Linked DNA regions of Caenorhabditis elegans. The protein of the gene in region 2 interacts with the protein of the main gene of each other region in a pairwise test. Each region holds a gene or a part of one and is shown on either strand. Other genes may lie near its edges.

The links.
Region 1: the proteins of elt-3 (region 2) and sma-4 interact in a two-hybrid assay, tested with the Caenorhabditis elegans proteins (one large-scale study listed by BioGRID).

The regions. Positions count from the first base shown.
Region 1 is NC_003281.10:5,814,625-5,820,717, forward strand, and holds sma-4 (Dwarfin sma-4), read left to right. Parts: upstream 1-1,607; 5' UTR 1,608-1,652; coding exon 1,653-1,724; intron 1,725-1,924; coding exon 1,925-2,002; intron 2,003-2,157; coding exon 2,158-2,472; intron 2,473-3,047; coding exon 3,048-3,188; intron 3,189-3,492; coding exon 3,493-3,597; intron 3,598-3,642; coding exon 3,643-3,856; intron 3,857-4,087; coding exon 4,088-4,248; intron 4,249-4,380; coding exon 4,381-4,508; intron 4,509-4,556; coding exon 4,557-4,722; intron 4,723-4,767; coding exon 4,768-4,869; intron 4,870-5,177; coding exon 5,178-5,300; intron 5,301-5,348; coding exon 5,349-5,441; 3' UTR 5,442-5,573; downstream 5,574-6,093. Other genes in the region: R12B2.7 (Ovule protein), read left to right, coding at 610-630, 683-889. UniProt on the Caenorhabditis elegans protein: Involved in TGF-beta pathway.
Region 2 is NC_003284.9:13,932,945-13,940,908, forward strand, and holds elt-3 (Transcription factor elt-3), read left to right. Parts: upstream 1-1,938; coding exon 1,939-2,005; intron 2,006-2,053; coding exon 2,054-2,176; intron 2,177-4,043; exon of another isoform or gene 4,044-4,315; intron 4,316-5,798; coding exon 5,799-5,924; intron 5,925-6,384; coding exon 6,385-6,487; intron 6,488-6,756; coding exon 6,757-6,880; intron 6,881-7,269; coding exon 7,270-7,428; intron 7,429-7,473; coding exon 7,474-7,568; intron 7,569-7,614; coding exon 7,615-7,771; downstream 7,772-7,964. UniProt on the Caenorhabditis elegans protein: Transcription factor. Required, in concert with signal transducer and transcription factor sta-2, for up-regulation of the vacuolar H(+)-ATPase and acceleration of lysosome maturation at molt.

The DNA.
Region 1 (6,093 bases), on a different chromosome or scaffold from region 2:
CACGAAGTGCCCGCTGCTGCTTCAACACTTAAAGATATGTTCTATTGATGTGACATACGTGACCGTTGGCAGATAAGCAATAAACCAGGAAAATGTCTGAAAATTAGCTATTTCCCTTTCTTTCAACTTGTGCCACTCTCTCTCTCTCTCTCTCTCTCTCTCTCTCTCTCTCTCTCTCTCTCTCTATTTTTCTCCGATTCCATCCTCTCCTCCTCTTCCCATTCACCTGTTATGATCATTTATCGTCACTGGCGCCGAAGAGACGCAGAGTGATGGGTATGTGGAGGTAGAGAACACATATGGGCACATCCCCCTTACACAAATTAGGTGTGACGGCTTCGAATTAAATTGATCGATGAGCAGTCCGCACCGATGGGACAGTTCCCGGCATATTGAACAAAACAGTGTCTCAGGCTGGTTAAGACACAATTTTATGCTACACGGTGTTGTCACGTAGATTGCGGTTGGTAGAGTTTGCAGGGACGCAGAGAGGCTAGAGACTTTGGCTGTCTGCACTCTCTCCTCGCCTTCTCACCATGTGGCCGCGAGATATATTGATGGCCGAGTTTTCTCCATTCATAATGAAACAAGTCCCCCGGATGGCCAGAAATGGTTTTTATAACTTTGTTTGTGGGTGACCTAGTTCTCTCAATTGTTTCAGATAATTTAAACTATTTTGCAGAATGGACTGTTCACATTTCTCTATCATTTTATTTTTTGCTCGCTGAGCATTTCTGATCTTTTGATGATGTACTTTTTTACTTCCTTCGTCATTCCCACCCTGAACGATAAACTAATTTCCCTTTCGATTAATGCTTTTTCTTTTCCAAAATTGCACTTTTATCATTTTCAAAGAAGAAAAAGAGATGGCATGACAATTGTCAGATGATTCTGAGGTTCGACTTTATTAAAATTAGCAATGTTTTTTTTTTATGTTATGGAGAATTTTTTAAATAGTTCTCCACTGACTCACTGTTGAATAATTTTTACTTGTAGAATTGTTTCTGTGGGAGAAGCATTCAAAAATTAATCACATCTATTTTCAGAATTCCACTCCTTATTTTAGTTGTTTGTTGTTACATGTACTTATGTACTTAGTAATTGACACATTGCACAATTATTTAAATGCGTGGTAAAGTGCACAAAACAAAGAGTATAAGAATATAGTTTGGTTTTCATAGTTGGAATGCTGGACTGATTGCTGGAATGTTGGAATGTTTGTTGTGGTAGGTCGGTGTGTCTGCTGTAGTTAGGGAGTTTTCCCTAAATCCAAGTTTTCAAACACACTTCATCCTTTCCTTGAAAGCACAATTTAAAAAGAAATAAATCATATAATTGGAACATTTATTTTTAAATTGAGATCCCATTGCTGTTTGATTTGTCCCTTCTTTCTGATCTTCATCCTTAATCGTCTTCTTCCGTTGTCACCTCGAATCACAACTTCATTTATTCTTCATTATCTGATTATCACCAACCGTTCTAAGTAAGCACCTCCCATTTTCTCCATTCAGCTCTCCCGTATTCTCTGCTTCCCGTGACTCCGCCTCTTTTTTCAACTTTTTTGTGGGTTTGCTATCATTTTCTATCTCTCAATCTTTGTCACTTTGTTCTCGAAAAACGTCTGAATTGGTCGAATAATGTTTCATCCAGGTATGACATCTCAGCCGTCTACTTCTAACCAAATGTATTATGATCCTTTGTATGGAGCAGAGCAAATTGTACAGGTGAGCACTATATTGTAGGAGACAGTTCAAGAGAGAGCGCGAGAGAATGAGAGAATATGAACATTTTTGGGGAACACTTATCTATTATAGTAGTCTAGTAATTGCTTCTGATTCTTAAAATACAAATAAAACTGTCTTCGTGCTTTGCATTTAGAAACTGAAGTACAAAATTCAGACAATATTAATTTTAACTATTTCAGTGCAATCCAATGGATTACCACCAGGCAAATATTTTATGCGGAATGCAGTATTTCAACAACTCGCATAATCGATATCCGGTTGGTTCAGTGATATTTGAAAACTAATTCTCTCAAAAATAAAATGGACCTCATTTTACTATTTTTCTGCATATGTAACGAAAAAATCAATAAACTTATATCCCAGTGACCAAATCGATAAGCTTTTCAAAATTTATTAAATCAAAAAATTTCAGTTATTACCTCAAATGCCACCACAGTTCACAAATGATCATCCATATGATTTTCCGAACGTGCCGACAATAAGTACTCTTGACGAAGCGTCTTCTTTTAATGGATTTTTGATACCTTCTCAACCATCTTCATATAACAATAATAACATTTCTTGTGTATTTACGCCTACACCATGTACATCATCACAAGCTTCATCCCAACCTCCACCTACACCTACAGTCAATCCAACACCGATTCCACCGAATGCTGGAGCAGTTCTCACAACTGCAATGGATTCATGTCAGCAGATTTCACATGTTTTACAATGTTATCAGCAGGTAGAAGGGGTCTTTGAAAAATAGAAAAATTTTAAGTAAAAATATAATGTTTTAAAATACTTGTTTTCCTATTAAAATACATTTCAAGTTGTATGGATTTTAAGTTTTCAAAAAAAATTGCTGAGAAAGTTGCATATTCATATCTGCTTGGGATTTATGAAAATTTTCGAACCAAAAATTTAGATTAAACTGAAACTTCTCTACATTTGAAAATAACGTACTAGACTTGAAATTTTTATTTGATTTCCTCTGATGAAATCATTGAATAAAACTCTGAAAATTTCAGAGCTCCAGAATTTTTTCTTTCTTGTAAACTTTAACATAAAACTTTAGGAAAGAAAAAACTCTGGAATTTTTACAAAATAGTTCTGAAACTACTTTTCCACTTTTATTTTTCAGAACAATTTTGAAAAAGGTATTCCAAAACTTGTCAAGCAAAACAAAAGAAGTTTTAATAATTAAAAAAAACTCCAAACTACAAAACAAACATTGTGGGTACGGCAGGCGCCAAGATAGCTGTGGAATTTGAAAACTGGAGCATTGAAAGAGAATTAAACAATTTACACGTGTTTCAGGGTGGAGAGGACAGTGATTTTGTACGGAAAGCCATCGAATCTCTTGTCAAAAAATTGAAAGACAAACGAATTGAATTGGATGCATTGATTACAGCAGTTACTTCAAATGGAAAACAACCAACTGGATGTGTTACTATTCAGGTTTGAAATAATACAACCTTTTGCTTCTGTACAGTAACCTAAAATTTTTTATTTTATGCTTGGAATTTTCGAAAATTTCAAAATTCCAGATATAAATTTCAGCAGTTTATGGGTATTTCAAAGAGAAAAACATGTTGCTTGCCAACTTTCTAAAATAACCAACAAAATTTTCAAATTTTTTTTCGTGAATTTGAAGTAAAATAATAATGTCAAAGTTTTTTCCGGTTTGAACATTTTAAATGGATTTTTGTTAGTACTTCCGATTCTTCAATTTTAAATACAGTTATCATCTTTAAAAGTTTAGAGATCCTTGGATGGACGCCTTCAAGTTGCTGGACGGAAAGGTGTTCCACATGTAGTTTACGCAAGAATATGGAGATGGCCAAAAGTTAGCAAAAATGAACTTGTGGTACATGAAAATGTTTGAACTCGGAAATAAACTGAACTATTCCAGAAATTAGTTCAATGTCAAACTTCATCAGATCATCCTGATAATATTTGCATTAATCCTTATCACTACGAAAGAGTTGTCTCAAATCGGATAACAAGTGCAGATCAATCACTTCACGTGGAGAATTCACCTATGAAGAGCGAATATTTAGGAGATGCAGGAGTTATTGATAGCTGCAGTGATTGGCCGAACACACCTCCTGATAACAATTTTAATGGTAAGAGTTGAACTCCAAAACTGTAAGTAGAGGTGGCTGCTCTCTCTCTCTGACTTTTATGCCTGCCTACGTACCTTCTAATACTTATTTGTTTGATATGGATGTTTAGTGAAGATAAAGGGTAGATAGAGGCATTTCTCATCTGCCCAAGATGAGCATGAATATATTTAATACAAAATCAACACTGAGAATTTTAGAGACCGATTTTAAATGTGACCCAATTTTTTTCAGGAGGATTTGCACCAGATCAACCTCAGCTAGTCACACCGATTATTTCTGATATTCCGATAGATCTCAATCAAATATATGTTCCAACACCTCCACAATTACTTGATAATTGGTGTTCAATCATTTATTATGAACTGGATACACCCATTGGTGAAACCTTTAAGGTATGTTTTTCTATGAAATCTGATGACTATTCATTCATGGTGCAAATCGCCTAGAAATTTTTGTGAAAGAGCGTGATTCTATCAAAAATGTGCAATGGCGTTATTAAATAATTTTAATTTTCTAAATTTTAGGTCAGCGCCCGCGATCATGGAAAAGTAATAGTAGATGGTGGAATGGATCCACATGGAGAAAATGAAGGAAGGTTATGTCTTGGAGCACTTTCAAATGTTCATCGAACAGAAGCTAGTGAAAAAGCAAGGTAATTTTAATTCAGGATCATGAAGAAAAATATAACACTGTTTTGCAGAATCCATATTGGTCGTGGTGTTGAATTAACCGCTCACGCCGATGGCAACATCTCTATCACTTCAAATTGTAAAATTTTCGTCCGATCCGGGTACCTAGACTACACTCATGGATCCGAGTACAGTAGTAAAGCACATCGATTCACTCCGAATGAATCTTCATTTACAGTATGTTCCCATTCAGGGAGTTTTACAAATGATAGAATGTTACAGGTATTCGACATCAGATGGGCCTACATGCAGATGCTCCGACGTTCTCGATCAAGCAATGAAGCAGTACGAGCACAGGCGGCAGCTGTTGCTGGATATGCACCGGTTAGTAGTAATTTGCAAGCAAAAAAACGACTCGACGCACCATATGGTGCATCATATGATCAGTGTACTGATTTTCTGCACGGACCCAATGCCATAGTTCACTTAAAAATTATTAGTGAAACTGACTAAATTTGCGACCAGGGTGATGTATTATTTCTGAGAATCAAAGATTCAATTTACCCTGATGATGCTTCGGGCATCAGCTAGCTAATTGTACACTTTTAATTCACAGACTCAAAGCATCATATATCACGAACACGAACAAGCAAAGCCTGATACCCAAGTTTAAAAAATATTTAAAAATTCAGATGTCCGTGATGCCAGCGATAATGCCTGACAGTGGAGTTGACAGGATGCGTCGTGACTTCTGTACAATTGCGATTTCATTTGTAAAAGCTTGGGGTGATGTCTACCAGAGGAAAACTATTAAGGTATGTCGACTACTCTATAAGAACTAGTCACCAATGACTTTTTTCCAGGAAACCCCATGTTGGATTGAAGTAACTTTGCACCGTCCTCTACAAATACTGGACCAGCTTCTCAAAAATAGTTCTCAATTTGGAAGTTCCTAACACTTATTTTTTATTTTTCTTCAATAATGATATCTACCTGTATTTACGTACCCCAGCAGTTTCTCATATTCATGTGCGTTGTAAAATCTCCTTTTTTGAATTTTTTCACTTTGGAAATAAAGTTTTTAGCATAGTAAATACAACCACACTATGTAAAAATAGGTTGCAGGAAAAATCAAAGAAATTTTAAAAAAATGAGCGGTTGAGTTTTCTCTTTTGGTGGCCGCGTTGACGAAATGGAAGAATCAAACCATATGCACCATTGTCATCATATTTACTTACCCAGAGCCATTATGGTTGATTGAAAATTCATGGTTGAATTCTCACATATGGAATATCATTCCCACGAATTCCCACTAATTTCTTCAATGAAGTTCAAAATAAGAGTGCTCGACGGTCTCTCCCCTCTGTGCCAGTGACAAAAAAAGTGCCCCATTCCGGGAGAATTATGTCCCTTGAGAACCATTTTGCCAGGGGCCGTGAGTGTGTCGCCCCCTTTCTACTCTATCCTAGTGGCCCTTTGTCTGTGCGACACAAAATATTCCAAAAGTAACACTATCATTTTTATTGTCTTCTCCTACACTCATCCCCATTTCACTGAGCCATTCCTCTGAATGTTGCAGTTTTATGTGCAATTTTTTTCAGAAATCAC
Region 2 (7,964 bases):
GGTATCATGTTTTAAAAAACTAAAATAAATTTCAGAACCGTTAAATGCTCCAATAAAGTTTCCAGAAACTAATTTGAAACATAAATAGTTTTTTTTTAATTTATATTTCTCAAAATATCCTCAATGAATGCTCGAAGATATATTTAAATTCGCTATCCCAAACTTACCATAGAATCGAATATTTATCCGAATAATCAAACAGCCAGATTCACACTTTTATTTCATCAAATTCCCATTTCCTCGGTTACCGCCCAGACATTTTTTTTGTTCATCCGGTATTATTTGAACTCATCTATTGAAATAAATTATTCAAAATTCACTTCTCTTTATATGATTTTGATTGGTGAACCCTTTTCCTTAAAATTCGATTAAGTTGAGTTACTAATTTTAAAACCACCAGTAAGTTTTTTTTTTAAATTAGTTTTAAAATTTTGATTTTAGAATTAACAATATTTTAAGTTTTAAAATGCATATAACAATGTCGGTTAATCATTTTCGAACAGCTTATACTAGTAGATTTGATATTTTGATAAATTCAGTTGAAAAAAAAAAGATAAGGTTCGAGTCATTGTGGCTACCAAGTGATTAGCAACTGCCACATTTGATTAAACCAACTGACATCTTTTCTTTTTTTTCGGGCGCTGAAGCAGAGAACAACTACGGAGAACAGTGTTCATAAGATCAAATGTCGGTTCAAAAATATTTAATTAAACGGAAATACTTGATGTTAAAATGTTTGGGCTAATTGTATCAAAACACAAAATTTTAAGGTTTAGAAAATTCTTTATTTGGTTTTGATTAAGTTAAACCTAATATTTTTCTCAAACTTCAAGCAGTTACTGCAAAAAAAAAACACAAAAACACAATTGAATTCAAAAAAATGTAAAGAAAAATAACAGAACTTACAAGTTAGTGCTGCATTTTTAAGCGAAAAACGTTCCGAATTCTAACTGAAGTAATGAGAATTATTTCATATAGGCATGTATTTCTAACGATCAAATAATTTGGAAAATGAATGATATTTCCTAGAAAAAATTAAAAGTGTGGGAAAAAATATTTTTAAAAAAATAAATGTAATATTTTCTGATAGTGAGGTATTTTATGAATTCTAACCTTTGAAATAGGATTTTAAAAATGTTTTTATTATTCCATAATATTTCATATGTAGAGACAAAATCTGAGAAATAAAATTTTAAAATTAAAATTTTAATGTAATCCTGCTAGAACATATAGTTTTATATATAGTTCGCGACTTCAGTTTCTAGACTTGCACTCAAAAAAGAAATAAATTGTCTTCCATCTTCCATCCACAATAATTGAAAGCAAAAACGAAGCACAAACTCACAAATACACACACTTTTTTCTCGGATCAAGATTTTCCTAGCAGAAAATCCATCGTCGTTTTCGCTTATTATTACAGACCAGGAAGACAGTAAAATGTTATCACCAACACCACTTTTTGCAGTGTAAGTTGCTCTATTACTTTTTATCGCTTTCAGAGAGGGTATTCCTGATAAATTTTTTGTTTCGTTTATTATATGTTTAGGGTCTGTCTGATTTCGGTTTATGTTACTTTTTTAAGCAAAAAAAAACTTGAGCCATTTGTGTTTTCATCATAAGCATTTTATGTTTGCTCTTTGATTATAACTGTATTCTTTTTGATGGAGTGTTCTGTTGAGCATGGCGAATGAAACCAAAACAAACTGAAATTTTGTTTTTGTCAAATAATCATAGTAGTAAATGTTTTGATTTTCCACGTATCGATTAATGAATAAACCGATAATAATAAAAAAAGTGAAACCAGCAGTTGTTTCTACTTTATTTTTTTTTGTTGGAAGCCTTATCACTGACAATTTGCTTTTTCTGATTTTGCATGTTGTTTCAATTTTTCAACAAACTTTATATTCAAATTTTCAAATTTTCAGTTACAGAATTCAAATGGAAACTGCCAACTATTACTTACCTTCACCACCGTATTCTTCCACTTCCAGCTCTGATTCCAGAGGTGGGACATTTTCAAAAAAAAAAAACACATTCCAACGAGTATTTTTAGAAAGTCGTATGAATACACCCATACCTACCACCTACTCTGAAGAAAATGTGAACAGTTTATTTCATCTTATGCCAGATAATACTGACCAATGGATGACGTCACAGAAAAATTTCTGGCAGGAAGGTTTGTTTTCATTTTTGACTGTTCTCTATGTTTCACAATATTTTGACAACTTAAAAACAAACATGGGGGGGGAGGGGAGAAAACTTAAAATAATTTATGAATCTAATATATCTTGAAAAACGAGTTGTATTTTTCCTTTCTTTTTACTTTCCAATCCACTTCTGTTTTGATTAAACAGTCAAGACAAAGAAAAATAATACAATTGGGGAAACGTTTAAGAATTAAAAATTATGACCGACCGCTGTAACTTCTGATAAAAGGATTTGTTTTTTTGGAAAATTGAACGAATTTTGGAAAAAAAACTTTGGATTGTTTTAACTACTGTCATTATTTAATTGCGTATATTCTTACCATATTTCCTATCCTTGCTTCTTGACACAGTATCCTTGACACAGTTGAGCAATTTGGTACGGAGCTCAGGTGAGAAGGAAGCTAGATGTCTATATTATATTGCTAATAGCTCTCATGATTTGAAAAAAAGTCAACATATTTTTTCATTTGATGCGTCTGCTCCATTAAAAAAAAGGATTGAAGGACGATCCGTTCTTCAAGTGCTATGCACTGCGGATCTGGGATTCAGGTACACTGCCTGGTGGTGATCCCTCTGGGCTGTAATTTGAGCCACGTCCTAGCCGGGGACTGTGGCCGATAATCCAGTCGTGGATTGCTCCACTTCCCAACAGAGGCTGGGTGAACCTAGGGGGTGAGGCCGGACTTGAACTCGTGACCTCCAGACTGCTAGCGGCCACCACTACCGACTGAGCTATCTGCCCCCCCCCCCCCCTTTGTTTCGAGTTTGTGATAAATTTTTTCAAGATCTTTGATTGAATTGAATTGAAACAAAATCATGAGATTTTTCAATGCTTGTCGTCCTCTCAGTTAGATGTATTTTCTGCGATTCGATTTTATTGTCTTACAAAATCGCATAGCTCCGCTTGAATCAAGAAGCATCTATGTCCTTGTACAGTAGTTTAGATTTATAGATTTGTGTTTCACTAAAAATCAATTACCAAGATTTTAAGTTAAGGTCTTCCCACTTTAATATAAATTAAACTGAGTAATATGAATTTAATTTAATCATGTATTAAAGACAATGTATTGTCAAAAAAGAATTTACACAAATACACTGATTTAATCGAACATTTTAGTATTTGAAAAATTTCAGTCAAAGTTTTGATAAATTGCCAAACTTTATAATTTTTTTTTTTGAAAACTTGACTTTCGGAGAAATTTCCTAGACTGCTACAGATTTGAACTTCCACAATGTTCAAATACAATAAGAGTAAAAAATTAATAAAATACAATATAAAACTCAAAAAATAGTTTTTAGTTGAATTTCAAAGTTGTTATGGATGAAATCTGTATAATTGCTATTGTTTAACAGTTTATGAGCAACAATTTTAAGTTATACTATTTTATTTAGAGTACCATAGGGGTTATATTGAAAACAATGTTCCTGTGACAAATTTTCATTAGTGTCAAAAAACATGGTAATCCAATTAGCAAAATAAAAAGAATATTAGACTTATTTTAGGCTTTGAGACATGCATATTTGTTCCTGAACTGAGTCGCTACCTCATTCAGATAATGATGGTATACCATGTGGTCTTCCATCACTATCAATTTCACTTGTACTTTGGTAATTTGGTAACCCTTTTACACCGAAATGCCGATGGACATATCAAATGTGAAGACATGTCTATTTTGTTTCTACTGTTTCAACATTCACTTTTTGCAAAATGTGACACGTTGTTTCACGGTCATCGTCGTCGACAAAACGAGAGGGGCCGCTGATGGGGGTACGGTCTTTTCGTTGACGTCTTCTCAATCTTCTTCTCGAAAATTGGACACTTCGTGCGCACGATTGCGGCCCTATCTTCTGCCTCAATCACAACTTAATCATTATCGACTGCGATTGTTGCGACGGGCCGGGAATGTCTGCCTCCTTCTTCTTGACGCGTTGACGACATCTTCATCCTTCTCCATTCTCTCTTTCCGTTTTCCTCTCCGAACAATTTGTAACCCGTTGCGACGACGAGACCTATGTTACTGTGGCGATGAGGGGTAGAAGGAGAAGGATTCTGAGCGTACGCGCTGCTGTTGGCCTCCGGATATCAACTGATATTTTGTGTTGTTGGGAGTGACAAGAACAATTGCTTTCTCTTCCCGAATATTGTCGTTGTCTTCAACAATTCACAAACTCACGACCTCTTATGGGCGGAGTAAAAGAAGGCGGCAACTGAGAAAGTGATTTCTGTGTATCATTCTTGTAACTGGACTGCGAACTGTATTCCCTATCTTATCTTCAATATTTTCTTTTCTTATCATTAAGGGTTTCAAACTTTTTCTCCACTTAATCTAGTCTAACTAGAGGACGGGATTGGGGATTGCCCCTATTATGATCTTTCCAACTTTATTTTAGTTAACAATCTTATCACGACCCATCATGTCTAGCCTGATAACAATGTGTTAGTTATCAAATTTCGTAGAATTTGGCGCTGGCGCCATTCCTCCTACGATTCGCTGATAAGGGATAGGTGACGGAAACTAAAACTGATTATATCCGAAAAATCCGTGAAAACTAATGAAAAAACAAAACCGTGGAAAAAGAATCTACCGTATCCCGCTTGTACTTTGACCATTCGTTCTGCAATGTGACTTGCCAGCAACTAAAATCAATGGCAACACCACAGTACATTGCTATAAAAATACTGATCGGGAGAGAAAAAAGAAATGGATGGTACCTCTTTCTTTTTTGGGCAGTATGAAGTTAGAGACAAATATTCAACCTCCCCCCCCCCCATTCTCTTCATCCTCTCTAACCCCGTCTTATTGTTAACAGTCGCCATCAGTCCATCGTCTTCTCCTTCTTCTTCTTCTATTCCTTTTCTCCTCTTTCGTCCCGACCGGCCAGTAGTATCGTCTTATTTCTCGAGAAGGGCGGCGCAAGACAAGTTGCATGGTCACTTGTATACCGTAGTATTACCGTGAATCGAATCATCACAATCCGCGCCCGTACACGCCCGATATCATTTCTCGAATGTTAAACAGCAATTTTTCAGTTGATAACGTATCATACTACTAATTATTTAGATTAACAAGATTTTAGCGTATCAATTTTTATCAGTCAAGTACACTGTTCACTCAAATGAAATACCAATTGAGATATGATGTAGACTAATTAAATTTTAAAATAGTAATATCTTTATATATATATATTGTGCCTGATATTTCCCAATTCACAATTTTTTTGAGAAGCGAGGTCATGCTCCTAAAATCGTCAAGAATGTGTCATCACAAAATACACATAGACTGTTTCTCCAGTGCCATCTTCCAAACAAACTCTTTTCTTCTAGTACTTCTCATGCTCGATTCGATACACAAAACTGAGAATGGCATGCTTGTACAACATGCTTGTAAATCTTGACTCCCTCTTAAAGAATAAAAAAGGTTGCTCATCCATGATTCGTATTGGCAAAGCTAACACACAACCACCGTTTTATGAGTATGCATAGTCACCTCTCTTCCTATTTGTGTATTCTTTGTTGCATTTGCCGCGTTTCGTTTTTTCACTCCCACGTTAGTTTTTTTTTGTTGAGTTTTCAAACTTGAAACCTTGCAGGCTCGCCTTCATCGTCGGAATACCTGCATCAACAGGCTGTCCAGCCATCTCAGCAAGCTCGGCTACCTGGTATTTCAAACTTCATGAAGGACTCTCAACTTTCCGTGAAACCAGCTGCATATTACTGTAAGTTGAGCGCGGCTGACCTTCGGTCTTAACCGCAATGCCAACGCGCAGTAATCAGTCCGCGCGGGATCGTATCTTTTTGGTGTACCGACAAAGAAGTTTAGGAGCTACTTTCGTATGTGTCAAGCAATTTGGAATAATTGTGGTATATAGAAATATCTAAATAAGAAAACAGTGCTATTATAATTATTGTCTTAAAAAATTGTTCCTCGAAGTATACTGCCATCCGTCAGGTGTATACTTCTATTTCTATTTTTTTTAGCTCTCTCAGCTTAACAAAATTTTTTTAGAGGGCCATTTTGAGGTGCTGAATCCTCAAAGAGTGTTTGTAGGTAAATTTGGAACTACTTGTTTTCGCCGTAATCAGAATAAGTAATCATTTGATATTGATCTTCCGAAACGCGCATTTTGAGACTCTTAACTATTTTTATACCAAGTTACTAATGTTTTCCAGCTCAAGGTAGTCCAACGATGAACGATTATCGAGTGGAAAAAGTGGCCAACACACTACTAGATCCATATGTTCAACTTGACCAACCGACCTATGCGGACTTCACTAATGCGTAAGTGCACATTCAATTCTGAACATTGTTCTTTTTCCTTACTAACTTTACTCTATTTTTTTTTCAACAACTTTTCTTATTTGTCTCGCATTGTATTATCAAGGTCACTCAAATAACCAACTGTAATCAATCATCGCGACCGCAAAAAGAATAGAAACTTCCACCAGAAGTTGTCATTATCATCTTCTTCTACTCCTTCATCATATTGAAATTGTCATCCATCATCTTCCAATATTCTATTCCTTAATGAACCCGTTGTTCTATTCCAGACAGGTACTGAACCATCAGCAAGAAATGCTCCAGATGAACTTCCCAACACCATTATCCACAAGTTATATGAATACAGCACAAGTCACACAGACACATCAAATGCCGTTCAATATTTTTGAATTGGTACGTCACATTGGTAGAAACATTTTAAAAACTAAAAAACTAAACTAGGGCTAGATACTTCAAATGTTCATATGATCGCATCAGCTTTTTTTGAGGGTATTAATTGGAATAATTGTGATAGTCTCAGGCACCTTATTGATTAATTGAAAATTTGCCTTAAGTTTTCGAACAGTAAGCTGCATGATCTGTTCGTGTTTAAAGTCTGAGCTGTTCAAAAACCTGTGCAGTATTAAAAACATCGAAAGTTGAATTTTCACAGTGCAGGGATTTGTATACTCCGTTATTTTAGAGCGATCAAACTTCTTGACAATATTGATATTTTTTATCAATTTGAAAACGTTCTAGCAGTTTTAAATGCCCGAAAAATTTTAATTCTCTACTATTTTCAGAACCTTTCAAACTTCGCAACATTCCAACCAGCCTGTGACACTCCCCTTCCACTTCTCAACAGCTCACCAACGCATCCATACACAACAATGTCAAACTTCACACCTCCACCGCAAGACCCGCTTGTCGCCGAGCCGAAGCCGATGAAAAAAAGAATGGCAGTACGCAACATACTAGGTTGATAACTAACTAGATCCGATTTTCAGGCTGTACAATGTCATCAAAATTCCATCTGCTCAAATTGCAAAACACGTGAGACGACGCTGTGGCGACGAAATGGAGAAGGAGGTGTCGAGTGCAAGTGAGTGATTGATTTGATCATACGGGACTGTATCTATGTGTTTCAGCGCCTGCAATCTCTACTTCCGGAAAAACAACCGAAAACGTCCACTGTCTCTTAGAAAAGATGGAATTATGAAGAGAAACCGACGTCCTAGAAATGAGTCTCCAAACTCTGCAATCAGGAATACCCATCAGAGACATGGACACGCAGCTGCTTGTTGAGCAATTTTAGTTGTCTAATTTCCCAATTATTTTTTTGATTTTGAATCAATCAGTTTTCGAATTCAATGTACACAATAAGCTTCTCCGAATATGCCAAATTTCCGACGAACCTCCCACGACTGAAACTTGATACCTATCCTCTGTAACCTAGTAGCTCTGGTAGAGTATCTTGCCATTCGCAATGATCTAATCT